Arabidopsis thaliana: one gene and its partner. The protein of the gene in region 1 interacts with the protein of each later gene in a pairwise test. Each region holds a gene or a part of one and is shown in the gene's direction. Other genes may lie near its edges.

What was found. The genes of interacting proteins can lie anywhere in the genome.
Region 2: the proteins of MTA (region 1) and FIP37 interact in binary tests that used the Arabidopsis thaliana proteins (3 or more experiments, as listed by UniProt).

The regions. Positions count from the first base shown.
Region 1 is NC_003075.7:6,618,579-6,625,360, reverse strand, and holds MTA (mRNAadenosine methylase), read left to right. Parts: upstream 1-1,979; 5' UTR 1,980-2,048; coding exon 2,049-3,122; intron 3,123-3,885; coding exon 3,886-3,984; intron 3,985-4,198; coding exon 4,199-4,282; intron 4,283-4,373; coding exon 4,374-4,705; intron 4,706-4,781; coding exon 4,782-4,998; intron 4,999-5,089; coding exon 5,090-5,169; intron 5,170-5,242; coding exon 5,243-5,414; 3' UTR 5,415-5,544; downstream 5,545-6,782. Other genes in the region: AT4G10750 (Phosphoenolpyruvate carboxylase family protein), read right to left, coding at 5,561-6,637. UniProt on the Arabidopsis thaliana protein: Catalytic subunit of the N6-methyltransferase complex, a multiprotein complex that mediates N6-methyladenosine (m6A) methylation at the 5'-[AG]GAC-3' consensus sites of some mRNAs.
Region 2 is NC_003074.8:20,054,502-20,060,882, forward strand, and holds FIP37 (FKBP12 interacting protein 37), read left to right. Parts: upstream 1-2,162; 5' UTR 2,163-2,346; coding exon 2,347-2,416; intron 2,417-2,500; coding exon 2,501-2,609; intron 2,610-2,692; coding exon 2,693-2,729; intron 2,730-2,828; coding exon 2,829-2,916; intron 2,917-3,015; coding exon 3,016-3,080; intron 3,081-3,170; coding exon 3,171-3,248; intron 3,249-3,368; coding exon 3,369-3,416; intron 3,417-3,793; coding exon 3,794-3,847; intron 3,848-4,121; coding exon 4,122-4,283; intron 4,284-4,428; coding exon 4,429-4,498; intron 4,499-4,581; coding exon 4,582-4,637; intron 4,638-4,739; coding exon 4,740-4,895; 3' UTR 4,896-5,082; downstream 5,083-6,381. Other genes in the region: AT3G54160 (RNI-like superfamily protein), read left to right, coding at 1-133, 215-526; CDKB1;1 (cyclin-dependent kinase B1;1), read left to right, coding at 5,381-6,008, 6,103-6,172, 6,376-6,381. UniProt on the Arabidopsis thaliana protein: Probable regulatory subunit of the N6-methyltransferase complex, a multiprotein complex that mediates N6-methyladenosine (m6A) methylation at the 5'-[AG]GAC-3' consensus sites of some mRNAs.

The DNA.
Region 1 (6,782 bases):
GTTCAAATAACCACGTGTCATGATCTCGTGAGTTAGTAACTTTCAAAACTGTACTTTATATAATAAGATTTGAATTTCAAATAGTAACGTAACTCTCATACTTTTTCAGTATGTAATTTAGTATTTCTTTAAACCAAATTTCAATCTTACAAATTCGATTTTGCAATACAATTTAAATACCTATTTTACCATAATAAAATATATAATTTAATGATATACACTCCATCTTGTTGTTAGTTTTTTATATAATTTAATTATATACACTCCATCTTATTGTTAGTTTTACATTTTAGTTAAGAAAATTGTAAGTTAAATATTTAGATATAAACATATTAATTAGTATATATAAATATCTTTGTTTTTTAGTTTCCTATTTTCTTTTAGGAAAAAGTAAAAAAAAAATCAAACATATGTCAAAATCTAAGATCGTTTAAATAACCACGTGTCATGATCTCGTGAGTTAGTAACTTTCAAAACTGTACTTTATATAATAAGATTAGATTGGAAACGTTACAATACACATGAGAAAATAAAAGTTTAAACTTCAAGAAGACACCATGCTCGACCCATAACCTACGACAAGATAAGGAAGGAATTTTCCGATAATACATTGTAAAAACCAAACAAATCTTGTCTCGAGACTAAACGAAGCTCTCGAAGCTCACCATAAAGACTTCCCGCACAACAAATTATGAAGAGGGGCTTCTTCATAACTTATGGCAATAACAAGATAGTGGAACTTGGCCTTCTCAATAAATGCTTCTTTTTCAATGAGTGCCTTTGTCAAGGGTCTTCCGGATGAACCGTAAGATAATCGAGAACCACTTAGACGTTTTAACGCCACAACGATCAATAAATTAAGCAAACCATCATCTGCTACACGATGAGAGAAAACTCAAATATAATCAAAGTGCTCAACCCCAAACTAACAAAGATTAACTTAGTCGGGAAGAGAAGATTAGCCCAAACAAGGGAGACGGAAGTCCAAACGAGGGAGACAATTAAACCTAATCCTCTGATGTTACCATATCTCACAGAGACGAACTGATCAGAGCAACAAGTCGACACAAAAGAGGAATACATGAGAGACATTGGAGATACCGAGATATCGAGGAGGCGATCCAATGTTGCACAGATGCAGCTTTGGGAGAAAAGAAACGAGCCGTCAAGAGAGAAGCAAAAGCCTCCAAAGTCCGTCAAGACTCAGCGAAGAGAACCACCCGACAAAGACGACGTTGTGACTCCACTCTGTGACCACCGAACAAGAACGATGACCCAAGAACACCCTTGACCAACAGATCCTATAGATCTGAGTACCAAGACCCAACCTCATTAAATCTGCCCCACAACACCCACTATTCCAAAATGTAGAGCCTCGATGCTTCCACAAACAAAGAATACAAAGACAAGAAATGAAAAACTATGCAGAGAAACAAAGAAGGTGACTGACGCTGGTGCTATTTGAGCCTCCACGCGCTGGTCACTTTGTGTTAAAGCAGGAAGACGAGAGAAAAAAATATTATTTTAGGTCAACCTTGTCGATTTTTGCGATACTTAGAGCTTCGATTTTTAGGGTTAACGGTTCACCTCTGCTATATTTTTTTTATCAGAATTCAACTCCAACAAACTAAATCACTTTCCGTGATAAAGAAAAGAAAAGTGCAAAAATTTGGATTTTGTTGATCCAAAATAAAATACAAAGAACTGAAATCTTAAAATCATATACTAAACTAGTTGTTATTTGTAAATTTCTTATAACCCTTTCTTACATTTTTAAATTACCCTACATATAACTTTTTCTTACATTTTTAAAATATCCTACAATTATCTAACTAAACACCCAAAAATATTTTTACCGTTTTATGTTATCAACTTATCATCGTGTCCGACAAAAAAAAAAAAACTTATCATCGTGCTCCTTTACATTTTTCGTGACCTAAAACTGCTACGACATCGTTTTAGTGACTTACTTGCTAAAACCCTTTTTAACTTTCTTTCAAGCTAAAGACCTGCACAAACTCTCTCTCGAATTCTTTTGTTTCGAAGCCATGGAAACTGAATCTGATGACGCCACCATTACCGTCGTCAAAGACATGAGAGTTCGATTAGAGAATCGAATTCGAACCCAACACGACGCTCACTTAGATCTCCTTTCCTCACTCCAATCCATTGTTCCCGATATAGTCCCATCTCTCGATCTCTCACTCAAACTCATCTCTTCTTTCACGAATCGACCTTTCGTAGCTACACCACCATTACCAGAACCCAAAGTTGAGAAGAAGCATCATCCGATTGTTAAATTAGGAACCCAACTGCAACAATTACATGGGCATGATTCAAAATCGATGCTTGTTGATTCGAATCAGAGAGATGCTGAAGCTGATGGGTCTAGTGGGAGTCCTATGGCGCTTGTTAGAGCTATGGTTGCTGAGTGTTTGCTTCAACGTGTACCGTTTTCTCCTACGGATTCTTCTACTGTGCTTAGGAAGCTTGAGAATGACCAGAATGCTAGACCGGCGGAGAAGGCGGCGTTACGAGATTTAGGCGGTGAATGTGGACCGATTCTTGCGGTGGAGACCGCACTTAAATCGATGGCGGAAGAGAATGGTTCTGTGGAATTGGAAGAGTTTGAGGTTAGTGGGAAGCCTAGGATCATGGTTTTAGCTATAGATAGAACTAGATTGCTTAAAGAGTTACCAGAGAGTTTCCAAGGGAATAACGAATCGAATCGGGTTGTCGAAACGCCTAATTCAATTGAGAATGCTACTGTTTCTGGTGGCGGGTTTGGTGTTTCCGGGTCGGGTAATTTCCCGAGACCTGAGATGTGGGGAGGTGATCCTAATATGGGGTTTAGGCCAATGATGAATGCACCAAGAGGAATGCAAATGATGGGAATGCATCATCCAATGGGGATAATGGGTAGACCACCACCATTTCCTTTGCCTTTGCCGTTGCCTGTACCGTCGAATCAGAAGCTTAGAAGTGAGGAAGAGGATTTGAAAGATGTTGAGGCTCTTTTGAGTAAGAAGTCTTTTAAGGAGAAGCAACAGTCTAGGACAGGTGAGGAGTTGCTTGATCTGATTCACCGTCCAACCGCTAAAGAAGCCGCTACTGCTGCTAAGGTGAACTCAGTTAACTATAGTCTTTAGTTAAATACATGCTTTTTTAATACAAAACTATATGTGAATGTAAATGTGAGTATATAAGCTTTCAAAAGGAATTGAGGAGGAAAACACATAGTGTAGTTCACAGCAGACTAGATAAGTTGTTGATCCAAAGCTGTGTTAATTTGGCGTAGATAGCGGATTAGATAGTGTATGATTCGTGAACAAGTTCTGGAGAAAGCTATTAGCCATCTTAGTAGTTAGTATCCATAGTAGTTTGTTATCAAGATTATAGGGGAGCAGATACTATGCCATTTTGTGAAAAGCAGTAGGGTGAAAAGCAAAGAGCTATATAACTTAGATGTGTGTTTCTTCGGTTTGGATGCTGATAGTGATGCTCCTATGTGGCCATATGTTCTGAAAGCAAGGAGCCTTCTATTGAAAATAATCACCTTACGGATCTAGATGCTTAATGTTTATAAGCGTGTTTAACTAGTTATCACAACACTTGTGTGTTTTGTCTCTCAGTGTGGGGTGGGGTTGAAAGTTTTTGATACATAGTTTCTACTTTCTAGTTTCAATATCGATGTAGCGAAAGCAAAGATCTCTTTCCACAAAACTTGTGTGTTTGTTGTGACTTTCTCTCTTGGTATCTTGTGAGACCTGTCACTGTTTCTAGCCTCAACTCTTCTAGGTGTTATGTTTTGTTAGTTTTCATTTCATCTTCTAATAAACAGCTTGGATCTTGTGATTGACTGTTATATTTTTATGTTCCTTACAGTTTAAAAGCAAAGGAGGATCACAGGTTAAGTATTACTGTAGGTATTTAACTAAAGAGGATTGCCGTCTTCAGTCTGGTTCTCACATAGCCTGCAACAAGGTTTGAACCAACTCAAATTTACAATGTACATCTTATTTGATAGGAAATTCAGAATGTTATATTGTTAAGAATTCCATAGCGAACAAATTAGGATTGGTTTGCATGTCAAGTTTTTTGTTTGTTATTTTGTGAGGTTTATATTGATCTCCTGCTATGGTGTCTATGTTGCTTTGCTGAAATCTACTTAGTTTTTATGAATTCTGTATACTTTCAGAGACATTTCCGTCGACTAATCGCTTCACATACTGACGTTAGCCTAGGAGATTGTTCCTTTCTCGATACTTGTCGTCACATGAAGGTAACTTTTTTTTGGTCACAATTGTGTGATAGTACTTCGGTTAAGTGTAGATATATGGTAACAGAGCAACCATTATTTTGAATTTGGACAGACTTGCAAATACGTGCATTACGAGCTCGACATGGCTGACGCTATGATGGCTGGTCCAGATAAGGCATTGAAGCCTCTACGTGCTGATTACTGTTCTGAAGCTGAACTTGGTGAGGCACAATGGATTAACTGTGACATCCGTTCTTTTCGAATGGACATTTTGGGAACCTTTGGAGTTGTTATGGCGGATCCACCATGGGACATTCACATGGAACTTCCATATGGAACAATGGCTGATGACGAAATGCGAACTCTTAATGTTCCCTCGTTACAGACTGACGGTTTGATTTTCCTCTGGGTCACTGGTCGTGCTATGGAACTAGGCCGTGAATGGTACTTAGAAAAATCTCAACAAATTTTGTGTTCATGTGCTTTTCCACTCTAATGGAGTTTTTTTTTTTTTTTTAAGTTTGGAGCTTTGGGGATACAAGCGAGTGGAAGAGATCATATGGGTAAAGACAAATCAACTTCAACGTATTATTCGAACAGGAAGAACAGGTCACTGGCTCAACCATAGCAAAGAGCATTGTCTGGTTGGAATCAAAGGAAATCCAGAAGTGAACAGAAACATCGACACAGATGTGATTGTCGCAGAGGTTAGAGAAACAAGCCGGAAGCCAGACGAGGTTTGTCCATAATTACCCACATTTTTCCAAATCGTTTCGAATTAGTATGATTCTGGACTCTTGTGTGATGAGAATGCTTGTCAACCACCAGATGTATGCAATGTTAGAGAGGATCATGCCAAGAGCAAGAAAGCTCGAGTTATTCGCCCGTATGCACAATGCTCATGCCGGGTAAAGTTTTTGACCTTTTAACTGTCATATGATATTGTTGTCATGAATCTTATGAGTCTACTGTTGGTTATAGATGGCTATCACTTGGGAACCAGCTTAACGGTGTCCGATTAATAAACGAAGGTCTTCGAGCTCGGTTTAAAGCATCATACCCTGAAATAGATGTCCAGCCACCATCACCACCAAGAGCCTCTGCAATGGAAACAGACAACGAACCAATGGCTATTGACTCAATCACAGCTTAGTTCAATTCCAAAAAAAACAAAGCCAAATGTCTCAGCTTTGTTGGATTCATGTTGCTTTCGTTTTTGAAACATTTGTGGCATCATGATTTTGTAAATCTTTATGGAAAGTTAAAAGGAAACAACATTAACGAAATTTGAAATTTTGCTTATTCGCTCCAGTACTTCTCATCATCAACATCTTTATCATGTTCCGACGAATCCTCACTGTCCGATTCATTGACCAAACCCATCTTGAATCTCCTCACATCTTCAACAGCAGCATTCCTAAACAATCCAACATCAACAGCTCCGGCGACCATATGGTAACCACGTCCCCGAATCTCACCAGCTCCGTCGTGCGGCATCGCGAAACCCGACAAGTAAGCCCCGCCTTTCGCCGGATCAGTGGTCAGCACAGATTTCTCAGCCTTCTTCATCATCTCTCTCACTTTCTTATGTCCAGGATCCCACAAATACCCTAAACTCGCACTAAGATCCAACGGTCCCATTTGCACACAGTCAACACCATCAACGGCTGCGATTTCATCAGCTTTCTTCACTCCTTCACCTGATTCCACCTGGCACATAATCAGAATCTCCTCTGCGTAATTACTTAAATACCCTTCATCGATTCCGTAGTTAGAAGCTCTCACCACCGTGTGCGCCGATCCACGGATACCGTCGGGAGGAAACCGGCAATACGACACCGCTTTGGTAGCGTCTTTACGAGATTCGATCATTGGGAACATGATTCCTTGTGGACCTAGATCTAGAGCTTTTTTAGCCCAGGTTGGTGAGTTTTCCGGTAATCGGAGAATGGCTGATGTTCCGGCGGCGTTAAGAGCTCGAATACAATCCAAAGCTTCCGGTATACCTCCGGGACCATGTTCCATATCAACGACGACGTAATCGTAACCGGCGTGAGCAGCGATCTCGGCTAATGTCGGCGAGAAGGAGAGTAAAAAGAGACCGTAGAGAGTTTCTCCTCCACGGAGACGAGATTTCAAGGAGGTTTTGGATCGATTCGTGATCGCTTCCACGGCGGTGGCGGGTGAGTGATCGGCGGGAGATGAAGAGTATCGAATTGGAGTTAGGGTTTTGCGGGAAAATGAAACGGAGGATTTGATTGAGCTGAACTTTGAAGGAGATAATGATTTTCCGATTATCAGAGAAGATGGATTAAGAAGAGATGTCACATCTCTGGTGACGGTCACGGCGGCGGGGAAGATTGAAGCGGTGGCCATTGCGGTGAACTTGGGAAGTATCGAAGAAGTGGTAAAAGACAAAGTGTTTTTGCTTTCGTATGACCAAAACGAAATTAGTACTCACTTATTAGCGTTTTCGGGATAGAAACGTAGACTGCATGCTGTTTTTTCTTAGGAAACGAGA
Region 2 (6,381 bases), on another chromosome or scaffold:
TTTCTTCGAAGAAGCAGTACCAGTGTTTGAAAACCTGTTTCATTTATCACTTAGCACTGAAGTAGATTTCTGTTGGAATGTTCTACCAATTCTGCTTGAGAAATCTCCAAATCTAAAGACTCTCACCATTCAGGTATGACCTAAGACCCCCAAAAGTATATTGGACAAACTAAAGAGTCAAAATCTTCAATCTCAAAATTCCTGTCTTTTCTAGGCTTTGCATTATACTACTAATCACTATGGGGATGAGAACACTGTTTGCGATTGTTTGGAGGTGTATTCTTTCTTATCGTCCTGCCATATTGAGGTTCTAAAGATAACCCAGTTCAAGGGAGATATCGGAGAGATGGTGCAAATAAAGCATATCTTGGAGAAATTGCCGAGTCTTGAGCTGTTGGAAATTCATGGTCAGGTAAAAGGAGATGACAAAAAGCTGCAGATCATGTTGGATCTCCTAATGTTCGAAAGAGCTTCGTCTGAATGCAAAGTCGAGGTCAAGTTTCCAGTTTGTTTTGCCTCAGCATGAACTTCCATATCTGATAAGAGAAACAAATGAGCTTCCGGTTTGTTGTTGACATGAGAGCTGGTTTGTTTAGTGTCTTTCTTATCCATGCAATTTCTGTATATAACAGCTTGACATTTTTGTCATCTTTGGCTCCTTGTTGTGTCGTTTCTTCGTGCCTAATTCACTTGAGTTTGTAAGAGAGATGCTATAGCTATTAGCTATCAGCTACGTTAGGTCTACTATGACTCATTTGTGCTGTATGTTATTGTTACTTTACAGTTTACACAGTCTATTTGACAATTTGGTAAATGGGATATGATTTGACTGATGTTGTTTGTTTCGGCTCTAGTAACATTGTAGTTTATATGTTTTATCAACGAGCTAAAAATATCTCAGTATATGCAATGCGCAGAGAACTAGAACAAAGCTTGATTTAAAAAAGAAACACATCATAAACCAACATACACAAGAACTAGATGATTATGGCTACAAGAGACTAAAGTTGTTATATAGATTGTGTCCAGAGATACAAATACAATACACACGAAGTCATTAAGCATTGACACTCAATTGTTACAAAACCCGAAACCATCACACATAAACGTAGCCATAGTCAGATAATGAGAAGAGAAACACAAATACGTAGCCATAGACAGATAATGAGCAGAGAAATATAGTTGAATCTCTTTTTTTTCACCTAGTAAATAATGAAATTGCTAACAAAAAAGGGATTTTATTTGTATTTTAGTCAAATAAGTAATCTACATAGTATTTTTGCAAAATTTTTTGTCGGGATGCATTTAGATCAATTTGGTATCCGCCCATTTTAATAATTTTGTTCATTGAGTCTTAGTTGGGTCGGTTCAAATAAAACTCGATTCTAGACCTGTTTTAAAAACTTTTACAACGGATATTTCCAGATTAAACAATATTAATAATTAGAAGATTTGGTTAACATTTAAAACTATAAATCTTCTTTCATCTTTGTTTGAATTTTTTAACTGTTTTAAATCAATATATAAAATTAAAAATAAATCTCAAGTTTTTATCCTACATATATTGTGATTCGAAATTTTAAAAATGGACATATGTTATCTAATGGACGAAAAATGTGTGGGTTCACGGTTCACCGTTTCACATCAGCTAAAATTAAACAATGATTTAAAATCATATCATAAATAAGTTCAACATTAATAAAATAAATAGGTTTTTTGGCTAGACGAATTTAACGAAACGGGTTTTTAAATCAACATTAATAAAAAAGTAATATATCATTAATTCACTGTTTTAATACAGATTAAATCCTTAATTTATTATTTTTAACACCACCAATATTAAACATATCAAATCAGTTTGAATAGAAAATATTGTATAAAACAAAAAAAAATGTTCCGTACTATAATGTTACTTAATAACAATTATAAATTATAAAATATAAATATTTCAAAAAATAATATAATTTGTAAACTTTTATCCATAATAAATAGCCATTAAAATTTAAAAATTACTATTTTTAGAAAACAAATTACGAATTAGAATAAGAAATTACAGAACATGATATATTTTGGAACAGAATAATATGGCGAACGATTTTGAATAAATATTTTTAAAATTTTAAATAATATTAATATGCCATTTTAATACTAGTTAAATCTTCAATTTACTATTTACGATTGTCTCCTGAACACCTGTTATACCATTAGTAAAAAAACGGATCCATGACCGATTGACCACGTTCTCGTCTTCCCCCAAATCTAAAACCCTAAATTCTCAATTGCTCGTCACACTTCGTCACTCCACCAGCGACAATCGCCGCAGAAACCTCTACGAAACTTGCTACAATGGAGTTTTCATCACAAGACGACGATTTTGGAGGAGACGATTCCGCTGCTAATGCCACCAGGGCTTCAGGTCCCGACATTAATGGATTTCTCTTAATTCATGGTTTTTGTTTAAGGTTGGATTGGACATTAATTTCTCATCTGTATCATTCAGGTAATAGAAGAAGCTTCGGTGATCTTGAAGACGATGAAGATGATATTTTCGGATCAACAACGGTAGCGCCTGGTGTTAGAACTGGGATGATTTTGTCTCTCCGAGGAAGGTTATTATCCAATCCTTTCTTCATGTATGAGAAAAATCTTTGATGTATAATTCTAACTTTCTTTTGCTTTTTCTCTTTGGCAGTCTTAAGAATTGTAAAGATGATCTTGCTTCATGTCAAGTAAGCATTGTTACTGTTCATCCCTAATCTGTTTGAATTCTATACCATTGCTGTTTATGGTTGCTTCGCTTTTGCATCTAACTATATCGTTTTGGTTAGAATGAGCTCGAGTCAGCAAAAACAGAGATTCAGAAGTGGAAGTCAGCGTTTCAGAATGAGTCCTTTGTTCCCGCTGGAAAATCTCCTGGTTAACCTCTCTTTCTCAATTTTGTTTTGTACATTTGTATATGCGATGTTAATTCTTGAGCATTCAATATGATTCTGTTTGGTACTTTTTTTTTTCCAGAACCAAGATTTTTGATTGATTATATTCAAAACCTAAAATCTTCTGAGAAATCTTTGAAAGAACAGGTTTGTACTTGAGTAATAACTTGTGTGTATATATCAATATGAAGGTCTTGATTTTCAAATAAGGTTTGGTTGTTGTTTCTCTCTTTTCAGTTAGAAATCGCAAAGAGAAAAGAAGCGTCATGCATTGTACAATATGCGAAACGGGAACAAGAAATGGCAGAATTGAAGGTAATTCTCGAGAAACTCATTGCCTACCACTTTGATTCCTGACTGATGCTATCACATGTTTTCTTGACCATTACATAGAATAGATGTCGCTAAACACAGTCTTGTATTTTGTATTTCTAGTCAGCTGTTCGCGATTTGAAATCTCAACTCAAGCCAGCGTCAATGCAGGTATATAGTTCTCCCAATGTTTTGATTCTGGAATAATTTATACAATTGTGCCAACAATACAAATCGTGAAAAAAGTTAGCTGTTGAAGTAACTTGGACTTTTCTAGGCATAGTCCGCTTTTTATGCCGTAGTGTACCTTTTATGACGGTCATCCTCGACCTTGATGCATGTAGAGGGAAACCTTTTCCTTGCCTTTTAGATTTCAGTCTGAATACGATGATAAGCGCATGTTTCTTGTAAACCTTTACCTGGCATCTGAATTATTAACAAGTCTGAATAGAAGAAATGGCTATAAATTTTGAATTGCAATGGTCATTTAGCAGCTTGTCATGATCAGATAGCAGTGTAGATTATTTATTCTTTGTTTACCTTTGTAGGCGAGGAGGTTGTTACTGGATCCAGCAATTCATGAAGAATTTTCACGTCTGAAGGTCTGCACCTACTCGTTTCTATTTACCCTTAGACTACTTTTTCATAAGGATGTATTTGTCGTAATATATCCTTAGATAATCCAAACTGTATCTACGGAACAAAATTCCGCTTTCGTTATGAATGGCCTGAAAGAATAATTCCTTAATAACTGATAGCTGACACTGTCGTAGTAGATACAGTTGAGGACGAACATTCCCAACTTTTTGTTAATGTACATTTGTTGCAGTTAAGTAAAGAGTAGATGAAGTTTGATTCCATGTTTCTATTATGCAGAATCTAGTAGAGGAAAAAGACAAGAAGATCAAGGAACTCCAGGACAACATTGCAGCAGTTACTTTTACTCCTCAAAGCAAGAATGGAAAGATGCTTATGGCAAAGTGCAGAACCCTGCAAGAGGAAAATGAGGAGATTGGGCACCAAGCTGCCGAAGGAAAGGTATAGTTTGTTCTACTCTCAGTCTTCAATCTGGAATTATATGAATTATATAGTAAAGCAGTAGTCTTCTTCAACCTTTGTAAAACATGATTCCCTGAAAAGGGTAAAGAAATTGATGCTTGCCTATGTTCATGTGGAATGGCAGATTCATGAACTAGCAATAAAGCTTGCAATGCAGAAGTCTCAAAACGCGGAACTTAGAAGTCAATTTGAAGGTAAGTCATATGTTGATATTAAGTTATAGCAAAGATTTTTGTAGAGTTTGCAATTTGGATTTGAGGATTTTTGTGGAATGCAGGACTGTACAAACACATGGAGGAATTAACTAATGATGTTGAGAGATCAAATGAAACGGTGTTGATCCTTTTCTCTTATCTCTTAATTCCTCAAGATTTTTCTTAAAACGGAAGAATGATTATGGTTTTGTTGGAAATATGTGACTTTGATAAATCTCAGGTGATAATATTGCAAGAGAAACTGGAAGAGAAAGAGAAGGAGATAGAGAGAGTAAAGAAAGGACTGGAAATTGTGTCTGAGCTAGTAGGTGACAAGAAAGATGAAGTTGATGAAATTGATGAAGATGCAAAAGAAGAAATTGCTGGTGGAGAATAGGAATTTGTAGCTTTCAAAAAATGTTTTGTACATTTTGAAGTTCAAAATCACATTTCTTCATTCGTTATCTGTTTCATGAAACAGAAAGTTCTAATCTTCATCTTCTATTAATATGTTTTAATTCGCACCATTGGTGTTTCGATATCGATATGTGGCTTCCCGATATAACTCGTGAAGAATTTGAACTCGTCAACTCACGCAAATCATCTGAGTAGATATCAGATTAGACCAAAATAAGTGAGTCCAATTAGTTTTCCCCAAAAACATTCACAGAGGTCACGACTTTAGGTTAATCTGTTGCAGTTGTCACGAACGAATTCAAAATCCAAAGGAGCGGGAAAAACGAAGTGACGTGGAAGTATCTTAGCGAAAGCATCTCTCTCTCTCTCTCTCACAATCCATCATCTTCATTAATCTGATCAAATAATAGGGTTAATCAAAAGTCCAGAAACCAACACAGTTCAATTTTACGAAACCTCTCAGAAATGGAGAAGTACGAGAAGCTAGAGAAGGTCGGAGAAGGAACATACGGGAAAGTCTACAAAGCGATGGAGAAAGGAACTGGTAAGCTTGTTGCTCTGAAGAAAACTCGTCTCGAGATGGACGAAGAAGGTATTCCACCAACTGCTCTTCGTGAGATCTCGCTTCTCCAGATGTTATCAACATCGATCTATGTTGTTCGATTACTCTGCGTCGAACATGTTCATCAACCATCAACCAAATCTCAATCTACCAAATCCAATCTCTATCTCGTTTTCGAGTATCTCGATACTGATCTTAAGAAATTCATCGATTCGTATAGGAAAGGACCTAATCCTAAGCCTCTTGAGCCTTTTTTGATTCAGAAGTTGATGTTTCAGCTTTGTAAAGGTGTTGCGCATTGTCATAGTCATGGTGTGCTTCACCGTGATCTTAAACCGCAGAATCTTCTTCTGGTGAAAGATAAAGAGCTTCTTAAGATTGCTGATTTGGGTCTTGGTCGTGCTTTTACTGTTCCTCTTAAGTCTTATACGCATGAGATTGTTACTCTTTGGTATAGAGCTCCTGAAGTTCTTCTTGGATCTACTCATTATTCAACTGGTGTTGACATGTGGTCTGTTGGTTGTATCTTTGGTTAGTAGTCTCAATTATGCTTTTATGTTTTTGAATTCGTCTCTCTGCGATGTGATTTTGTATTTATGCTGTTTCAATCTTTGAATTTGTATAGCTGAGATGGTTCGGAGGCAAGCTCTTTTCCCTGGTGATTCTGAGTTTCAGCAATTGCTTCATATCTTCAGGTATTTTGAATTTACCTTCCATTACTTCTTCTGGTTTTGTCCTGTTTCAGTGTGAATTGCATCACTGAATGATATGCTAGCTTACCAATTGAGAACAACTGATTCTATATAGTCCAGGTTTCTTTGACCAATTATTCAATGGATTTAGCATTCTTGAATAGAGACTATGATCTTTACTAATGGTTCCTATTTGGTTCATGGAGGTTGCT